Linked DNA regions of Daphnia pulex. The main gene of each other region encodes a partner of the protein of the gene in region 3 in a complex. Links are inferred from orthologs where the notes say so. Each region holds a gene or a part of one and is shown on either strand. Other genes may lie near its edges.

Region 1 (3,185 bases), on a different chromosome or scaffold from region 3:
CAACCTTTTTTTGTTCTTTTAAACAAAACAGGCGGATCAGATTTGTTACGCTGTTCTCTGCGTGTTTTCTTACGTGGCCGCCGGAAGCGAACAGCGTAAAAAGGTTGAGCCGACTTGAAAGCTCATCATCAATCGACCAAGCAACACACACCGGACATCACTTGATTCGCTTGTTACTTTTAGTTGTTGTACTTAAATGATTACTCGTTCGTTTTGTCGTACGAGTCGTCGCAATAATAATTATCTAGTCATGGTACGGTTCATCAAGAAATTTGAACCAACAGCAGTTGACAAATTTGCGTTCGAACATTCACTGTTAGTATTTGTAATTAATGAATATAAAGTTGTTTTACCCTATTGATCATATCATTTGAGCGATTGTGACTTGCGTGTAGCTATCGTGACGTGCTTATCATTGTTTTCGGGCAAGCCAACGCTATAGCTTTCAAACTCCGATTTAGAAGAAAATATTTGAAAGAATGAATAATAATAAACCAAAATTCACTCATTGAATGGAATTTTATTTATACTCTCGAAAGAAGCAGAAAAAATTCGAAATAAATCGACGTGACAAGAAGGTTTCTCAAAGTAAGGGCATCATTCCAGGTGGGTTACTGTTTGAATTTGTAGTACCGATTGAGGCTGATGCTCCTGGGTGTTCTGGACTGTGCTTCTGTTTCTTTTTCTTCTTCTCCTTCTTCTTCTTCTTGCGATCTTTCTCATCTTCGTGTCGCTTTTGTTTCTTATGCTTTTTTTCGTAGGATTCACCGCCCGAACCGGCTCCTCCCTCTCCTACTACTCCAATGCCCGGTCCAGCGATTCCAGCTCCAGTTTCTTGAATTGAGATCTCGCTACTCTTTTTGTGTTTCTTGTGTTTCTGTTTTTTCTTCAGTGGGGCCAGGGAAGAGGTTTGATACTGCTCAGGCAACTATGAAATAAAGATGTGAAAATTAAAATAACAATTATGTGATTTGCTGTCTAAAAGTCTCTTACTGGTCCTGGATGAAGACGGAATCCTGCAAGTTGAGAGGAATTCAAGAATACCAACTCCTTGCCACCGATTGGAGGTTTTTCAATGATGGATCTTAAGGATGAATTGTCTGTGTTACCAGGAGTATCAATCATGCCGGGTAATCCAGGTAAGAATGAAGATAGCGAATCTTTGAACTTTTTGCCACTGAATTTGTTGTATGAATGTTCCAAATTGTAGTGAGCCATTAAATTTGTTGCTCCGGTTAGGTCAGTATCTCCTGCGATAGATTTACCTTGAGTGAAAGAATGATACAGTCACGTAAAATATGTATACCTGGCAGTTCCTTGTGAAGATAAAATGGTCCGGTATGAACAATTGTTGGGGTCTTTCCAAGTGATATGGTGGTTTTCAGTGTTCCAGTGGAATCTTGTTGCCTGGGAACAACTGGGCTTCGATTTCCTCTTGGAGAAGATCTTGGAGAATTCGGCTCAAATCTCCGAAGAGAATCGGCCACTTGGATGGTGAATGATTCCGACATTTTTTGTCAAAAACTTTTACCCTTTTTACTCGTTAGTATGAGGTCATCGCTTGTAAAATCTCCGTATCCGACTAGACTGACCTTGGTCGAATCCGATATATCGTAGTAATTATAGATATTAATAAATTATTCAGGCAAATGTTGGATGCCAAAAATGACAATTGACAGAGTAAACACAGCAGCGAAAAAGCATAACGAAACACCAGCGCCACCTGTACCCAAAAGATATAACTAGATGCTCCTCTATGCAAATATTTTTGCCCGAGGACTTGAATTGGCCAAGTTGGCGAGAGCACGCTTTCAAAAGTCAAAAAGTCACACGAGGTTTAGACTCAGTGGCAGTTGCTAGGGTAGATAGTTTTGTGTCCGCCTCGTGTGATTTAATGGTGAGTTTAATCACAATTTTTTTCAATTTCCGTCTGGTAATAGTATCAAACTGTTGATGTATATTTTATTATTCATGTTATCAAAAAATATCTATCTAGCCAGAGGTCGAATTCAACTTTCGAATTCGAGTTCGGCGTCCTTCAATAGTCTCAAGAAAAGTCAGAAAACTGGCTGAAGGCAGAGGCTGTTTTTTAAAAAATCCTTATCTCATACTCCCTAGTGTATTGTAGAGGGTTTTTTAAAGGCCAGACTCAGCTTTTCCAACCCAGTAACCCAGCCCTTTTTTTGTCTGTCTCAGAATTGACCCTAGGGGCGTTGATGAAAGGACCGGGTCGTCACCCTTAAAATATAGTCGTCCTCTTTATTCTGGAACCACAAGTCGTGATGTTACGAGGATAGAAAACCTACCTTCGCAACCGTGATAATAAGAACTCTGTTTCTCCAAAGGTAATTATTTGTATAACCTAGGCTTATTTCCTTTTAAATATACAATACAATTCGTATCTTTTCTTTACCTAGATCGTTCATTCCGTTTTGTTCGTTACACGTTAGTAAAATTATAATTCTCAACATGGATGGAGTCACAGCTTATGGCCTTTTGAGGAAATTCCAGCAATTGCAAGAGGAAAGGGTCCACACCTACAAGATTTTTCATGAGTGAGTTACAATGTTATTTAAAAAATTTCACATGAGGTAATTTTTGCATGTATTGTTTCTTTCCAGAGGGCATAAGATTTATCTGAGCACTGGACCAAATTATGACTTTATCCAGTTTCGTACACTTGTTCAAGACATAACTCAAGACTTTAAGCGAATCTCAGAAGAAATAATTAAAATTGAGTGCCAATTGAGAAACATGCAGCCTGAACTGACATTGCATGTTATCAAAGTGCAGGATTATGAGAAAAGGCAGCTGGAACTGGTAAAAAATTATTAAAGATTAAGATTTAAAGATTTATTAAACTTGTTGATTTTCTGTTTAGATGGCTCGATTGCAATTGGCTAAACAAGAGTTGCAAGACATGCAACATATTGAGGATGCTGAAAATGACATTCTCATGCGTGAAGTGCATCACTTGAAGAAAGAATTGGCTGTGGTTCAAGACAAGATCAATCAAAACATGGAAGCTGTTTGTTACCAATTGGCTGATCTGATGTAATTTTTATTTTCATCACTGAAGATTATTCTCTTCCCATATTTGCATTAACCTGTTGACAATCTAAAGAAATACAGCATCATAATGCTTCTAACTAAATGTTGCATTCTTAGTTTTCTATTTAACATAT
Region 2 (2,663 bases), on a different chromosome or scaffold from region 3:
CATGGCCGCCTCGACTTCAGCCCCATTCGCAGGTTTAGCGACAGGACTTGGTGAGGGAGACGGATGGTGGATGATGTTACTGAAATTGATGCCCATGTGTTGAAGTGTATTGGGAGCCCAAGTTACAGAACGGCAACCGTTTATTGCCTTAGACGTGGACCTTTGGGTTGATCCACAGCAAAGATAACTTCTATTCCCCCACAGGGCAGGGTGATACACATTCACAAGAGGAGCACTGTCTTTGACCACTATCAGGAGAAAAATAAAATAAATTATTAGATGAGATAAAATGAACATGTGAGATAAATACTGCTATTTGTCACACATAACTACTTGAGACGTCAAAAGAGAATGTTCTCACCAACTCGGATATTCCAAAGCCAGATATCTCTTTCTTGCTGAGTGGGAGTGAAAATGCAAAGAGTCAAGTCTGTTGCACTACAACCTTCATTACACTCATAAGGATTGTACACTATCTGAAAAGCAGGAGATCCCTTCAAATCACTCGGAATGGAACCTGTAAGGTTTGCCAATGGACCGATGGCAGGTGTGTCAGGTGCTGGATCAACAGCTTCCACAACTTTCACTGTTTGGAGGTCGACACGTCCCTTTTCTTTTCCTTTGCGATTCTGTTGTTTGGAATTGATGGTTGTGATGAATTAGTGATGAAGGGATTCACGAACACAGTCCATGCGTGTTTAGTAGAACTAAACCTTACCTCGCATTCGCCCTCGTAGTAGGCGAGGAACTTTGTGGTAAGGACGAACCATCGACTCTTGTAGTTGATCAAACTAAACCTCTTCTTGTTCTGTGATCGTTTCACTAAATTGCCTTGCTTTTTTACCTCACCTGCAAGAGGTTTGGCAGAGCTTTTAAACATACTTACAAAACGATCACTAATCAAAAAAGTAGTCCCCACTTGATAAAGCTGTTATAACTTCGTTCATTGTCTTTCTCCCTGGACCCTGGTACGAAGAGAATGAAAGCAGGACGAAGAAAAAGCTCTCCAAACCTCTCTAAATACTGGCAACTCGGACAGATCTAGCGGCAGTTGCCGACAACTATTATCGGATTTAATTTCCTCCGAAAATTAGCGATAAAATCGAGGAAATATACATTTAAAATAAAAAAATAAACAACGATTAATTGATTTAATGACAATTTAATGTAAAATTGAATTCTTTTACAACATTCTAAATCAAATTTGTTTCCATTCAAGAATGGCGTGTCGGGACAGCCACAAAAAGGAGAACATTGATCAAAAAATAGTCTGCTGAAATCCCCAAGCAAACGAACTAGAAAACGTCACATTCTTCATTCTTGAAAACAAACTATATTGTTTACATTACTATATTGCTTCATTCCAGTGGGAAAGTAAAAATGTCAGAAACGGCTCAAGTTAGTTCATTACCTTTGCCACCGATGCAATATGTCAGTCTTTTTAATGAAGAAAACGCTAAAAGAGGAAGAACACCGAGACCACCTCCTCCGATCACAGACAATTATTCCATGTTTGGTAATCCATATAATACTGATGATGCTGTGATCCGACCTCTTGAAAGCCAGGTGATAGAAGTTTTTTCTTAATCAAAGCTTTCTTTAATACTCGTTTTACTATTCCAGAATATACGACGTCTGTACCCTAATAACTATGACCACAGAAGAGAACTGAAAAAGCTCAATCACTCCATCACTGCTAGTTTCCTTGACTTGGTTGATATCTGCATACGAAATCCAGAGTCTGAAGCAAGAGCCACAAAAATTGATGACCTCACTTTGCTTTTCATTCACATGCATCATCTGGTCAATGAATTTCGGCCTCATCAAGCAAGGGAAACTCTTAGAGTTATGCTAGAACAACAAAAACGACAAAGATTGGAAATTGCAGAGCGTTTCAGAAGACATTTTGACAAAGCTTGGGAATTGGTTCAGCAGGCTGTCAACACAATTCCTGAACCAACTGAAGGCAACATCAAGCTCCTTATAGATGTTGAACGGGTTCAACCTTCAGAAGGCAATGCAAGCAACCAAACTTCTGGGAATGGGTGTACTGAGGAGGATCGTGTTCTGTGTCAAATGATTGATTCTTTGTGAATTCTGTGTTATTTTATGTTTATTCAAAGTGGAAAATACATTCGATCTACTCGCCTTTCTGATGTAAAATAGTCTGCTGTTTTATTTTTAATCGTTTTGGGACAAACATAATCTCGGTGATTTATTTTTTTTTAAGAATTTTTATTTTAAAATAATTATTGCAATAGATTTTTCTATTTGTATTTTAGTTGATAAATGTTGATGATCCACCTAAATTAAACATCTAGATCAAATTGCAACGTTGTTTATTCGTTTTAGTCCGTCTGCAGTCGCTGTAACATATTTTTCCTTCAAATTTTTCCTCTTGAAAGTTGATTCGAAACAACAATACCGTTGAAGTTAATTCTCTGCTTTTGGTAAGTGCATTGCTGTTAATTTAACTGTATATTGAACCGGTCTATCGATAGTTATTAGTTTTATCATTTCGCCTTGCAGGTAACATTCAATTGTTATAGCCAAAGCAAGTTTTTACACGTGATCATCTTTCGTTAGTAGAGTAAATTTTAAAATGACTGAAAGAAAAGTCAGCCCAGTTCCCGTCTATAACAATATCCTAATGGAACAATTTT
Region 3 (2,443 bases):
ACAGGAAAGTTATTACGCCGCCCACCCAACGTCAACTACGCAATAGATAATTCCAGTTATCTTAAGCAAACAACAAATTTATTTAGACCTATAGTATCCCAGCATTACTACCGCGTCACCGGAAGAGAATCCTTTATCCGCCCACTCTGATCAGAAAACAAGTGCAAATTATACCGATAATATTATTATAAAGGTAACCAGTAATGTTAAGACCACGTCCGTATAAAACCGAATGATCCTAAATGATAACTGAACTAATATTACATTGAAAGCATCTCGAGGAGTAACACTTTTTGACACATAACCGCGCTCCATCCATCTCTTAATTAGCGAGGTTAACGTCGTTACTATTACAACGGCAAGTAGTAAGTTGTTGGTGGTGGACAAAAGCACAAAGTTGGCTGATGGGTTCAAGACAATGTTACGCTATTACACCTCTTTCTTTTGTATCTACGTTATTTTAAGTATAAAGACATATTCGATTGTGCCATTATAATTAGTAATTGTGCATGAGAGTGTATGATATCCAACCACGAAATGGAATTCAAAAATTGACAGCCGTACAAACGCGTTTAAATGAACTACAAATTACTGGACTTCTTGTCGGCTCCATTTCCCGCGACATATGCACGACATCTGCCATCGCATGTCCCACGATTTGGCAGCGTTCGATCGACCCACCCGCAACCCCTTAACGACGATGCTGATGCCCTTGCAGCGCGAGCAGTAGCGAACATTATGCGGTTTCGAACCAAGGTAGACGTGGCGAATCGAGTCGACTTTGCTCTCGCCTTCGACGCCGTCGTACTTGGTTGAACTGGGCTCTTCTGGATGGCTTCCGTATTCGTACTGCATTTGCAAAAACAACAAATAAGGATGACAATCCTAATGGAAACTGGGAAAAAAGAAACTTGTATCGTACCTGTAACGGTAGCTGATTAAACAAAGTAGGGCTGGCTATTCCACGCGCTGGCAACGAGAGCCCAATGTCAGGAATAATGAGTTGACTCGAAAGTTGGCAACATTCGTCTACAAGTATGGGCACGCACAAATGAATAAATTAGCAAATAAACACACTGAAAACACGTTGAATGACACAAAAACACAGTTTGCATAATCGGCACTCCGGGAAAGAGACACTAGAACAATCCAAAGTCGAAAGAATAACAAACTGATGCCGAAAAATGAAAGTTCATTCAGATTTCGTCAAGTTAATGTCACTTGTATCGTCATCTTCCATTTCTAATGCGGGGTTTTCTACACCAGAAGAAGGATTTGCGAATGAAGGCGAATCAGGAGGAGATCCGGTCGGCGTTAGTTGATAAAAATCCGAGCGATATTCAATCCCAAGAGATTGGCGTTCACCATCTTCTTGCGAATCTTCGCTTTCGGGAGGCTGAGGGCTACTAGCTACAGAATCGATTTCCAAAGTGATTTCCAAGTCTCGTTCTGCGATGCTTATCAGATACGATGGCGATGTGATGTCACCGTTTTCACTCATCCAAGAAATGTCCTCAGTGTCCCATGTAAAATCGCTTTCCGACGGTCTAGACGGGGGCATAGTTTTCAACGTTAGCGGTTGCACGCGTTTAGACGTAACTTCGGCTTCAATCATTTGGTTCTGACGAGGTGTGAAGGACTGAAGGGTTGTGACTTCGTTATCGATTTTCTCAGTAGGGATGTAATATTTAGGCTGGATTGGTAACGTATTAAAGCTAAGTGGGATCGTCGTCTTGTTGGGTTGAGAAGATAAAAGGTGCTGATCAAATCCCGAATCACTCTTTTTGTCAACTTGTTTCTCCTTCTTCCACAAATAATACGCTACGAAGAAAACAATCGCCCATATTGCGGCTGCAACCACCCAGTATGCAAAGAGCCAAAGGTTAAACTCGGAACGATCATTACCGACTAAATGATAGCGATTCCAAATAGCCGGACACAAAACAAACCAGTAAGTAACAAAGAAAACTAATGTGAATACAGGAACACCAACGGTCCAAAAAGGCCTCGTGCCAATGAATAAACTGCGAATGAAGCCCATTTGCTCGCCAAGAATTCCAAGAGATGTTTAAATATGGGTCTTAAAGGGGAGCACCTGCTAGTCACGACTAGAGAAAAATATATTCTGATTTTCTGGGCTACGAGAAACGAATTTTTATCGAGCAAGGAAGTGGTCGATCCTTCCGGACGTGGCTGGCGTTAACCACAGCCACCACTGATTTGTAACTTAAACCTGACAACCGTTGTCGGTGCAGCAACAATCTCTTGAGGAAAAATTTTGAATAAATATTACCTAAAAGGCTTTCATCAGGTTCTGATGTTTGAAGAAGTCGAGTTAGAATGCGAAACAGTGTGGCAATGACATCAACGTTCTCCATGTAGCTGAAAGTAGGCAAGCACGAGTGACGAATCAAGCCCCAAATCCTGAATATGACCAATAGTT

What was found. The genes of interacting proteins can lie anywhere in the genome.
Region 1: mediator of RNA polymerase II transcription subunit 16-like (region 3) and mediator of RNA polymerase II transcription subunit 19-like share a complex: the UniProt entries of both Drosophila melanogaster proteins name them as parts of the mediator complex. The link is inferred for Daphnia pulex from reciprocal best matches to the Drosophila melanogaster genes MED16 and MED19.
Region 2: mediator of RNA polymerase II transcription subunit 16-like (region 3) and mediator of RNA polymerase II transcription subunit 7-like share a complex: the UniProt entries of both Drosophila melanogaster proteins name them as parts of the mediator complex. The link is inferred for Daphnia pulex from reciprocal best matches to the Drosophila melanogaster genes MED16 and MED7.

Annotation. Positions count from the first base shown.
Region 1 is NC_060023.1:10,280,182-10,283,366, reverse strand, and holds mediator of RNA polymerase II transcription subunit 19-like, read right to left. Parts: upstream 1,729-3,185; 5' UTR 1,512-1,728; coding exon 1,307-1,511; intron 1,266-1,306; coding exon 994-1,265; intron 929-993; coding exon 584-928; 3' UTR 501-583; downstream 1-500. Other genes in the region: MAP kinase-activating death domain protein-like, read left to right, coding at 32-118; required for excision 1-B domain-containing protein-like, read left to right, coding at 2,470-2,555, 2,622-2,820, 2,882-3,058. UniProt on the Drosophila melanogaster protein: Component of the Mediator complex, a coactivator involved in the regulated transcription of nearly all RNA polymerase II-dependent genes.
Region 2 is NC_060019.1:10,647,734-10,650,396, forward strand, and holds mediator of RNA polymerase II transcription subunit 7-like, read left to right. Parts: upstream 1-1,244; 5' UTR 1,245-1,380; coding exon 1,381-1,566; intron 1,567-1,623; coding exon 1,624-2,094; 3' UTR 2,095-2,163; downstream 2,164-2,663. Other genes in the region: tyrosine-protein kinase Btk29A-like, read right to left, coding at 1-248, 362-629, 719-880. UniProt on the Drosophila melanogaster protein: Component of the Mediator complex, a coactivator involved in the regulated transcription of nearly all RNA polymerase II-dependent genes.
Region 3 is NC_060021.1:615,806-618,248, forward strand, and holds the end of mediator of RNA polymerase II transcription subunit 16-like, read right to left. Parts: coding exon 2,294-2,443; intron 1,030-2,293; coding exon 923-1,029; intron 850-922; coding exon 589-849; 3' UTR 501-588; downstream 1-500. UniProt on the Drosophila melanogaster protein: Component of the Mediator complex, a coactivator involved in the regulated transcription of nearly all RNA polymerase II-dependent genes.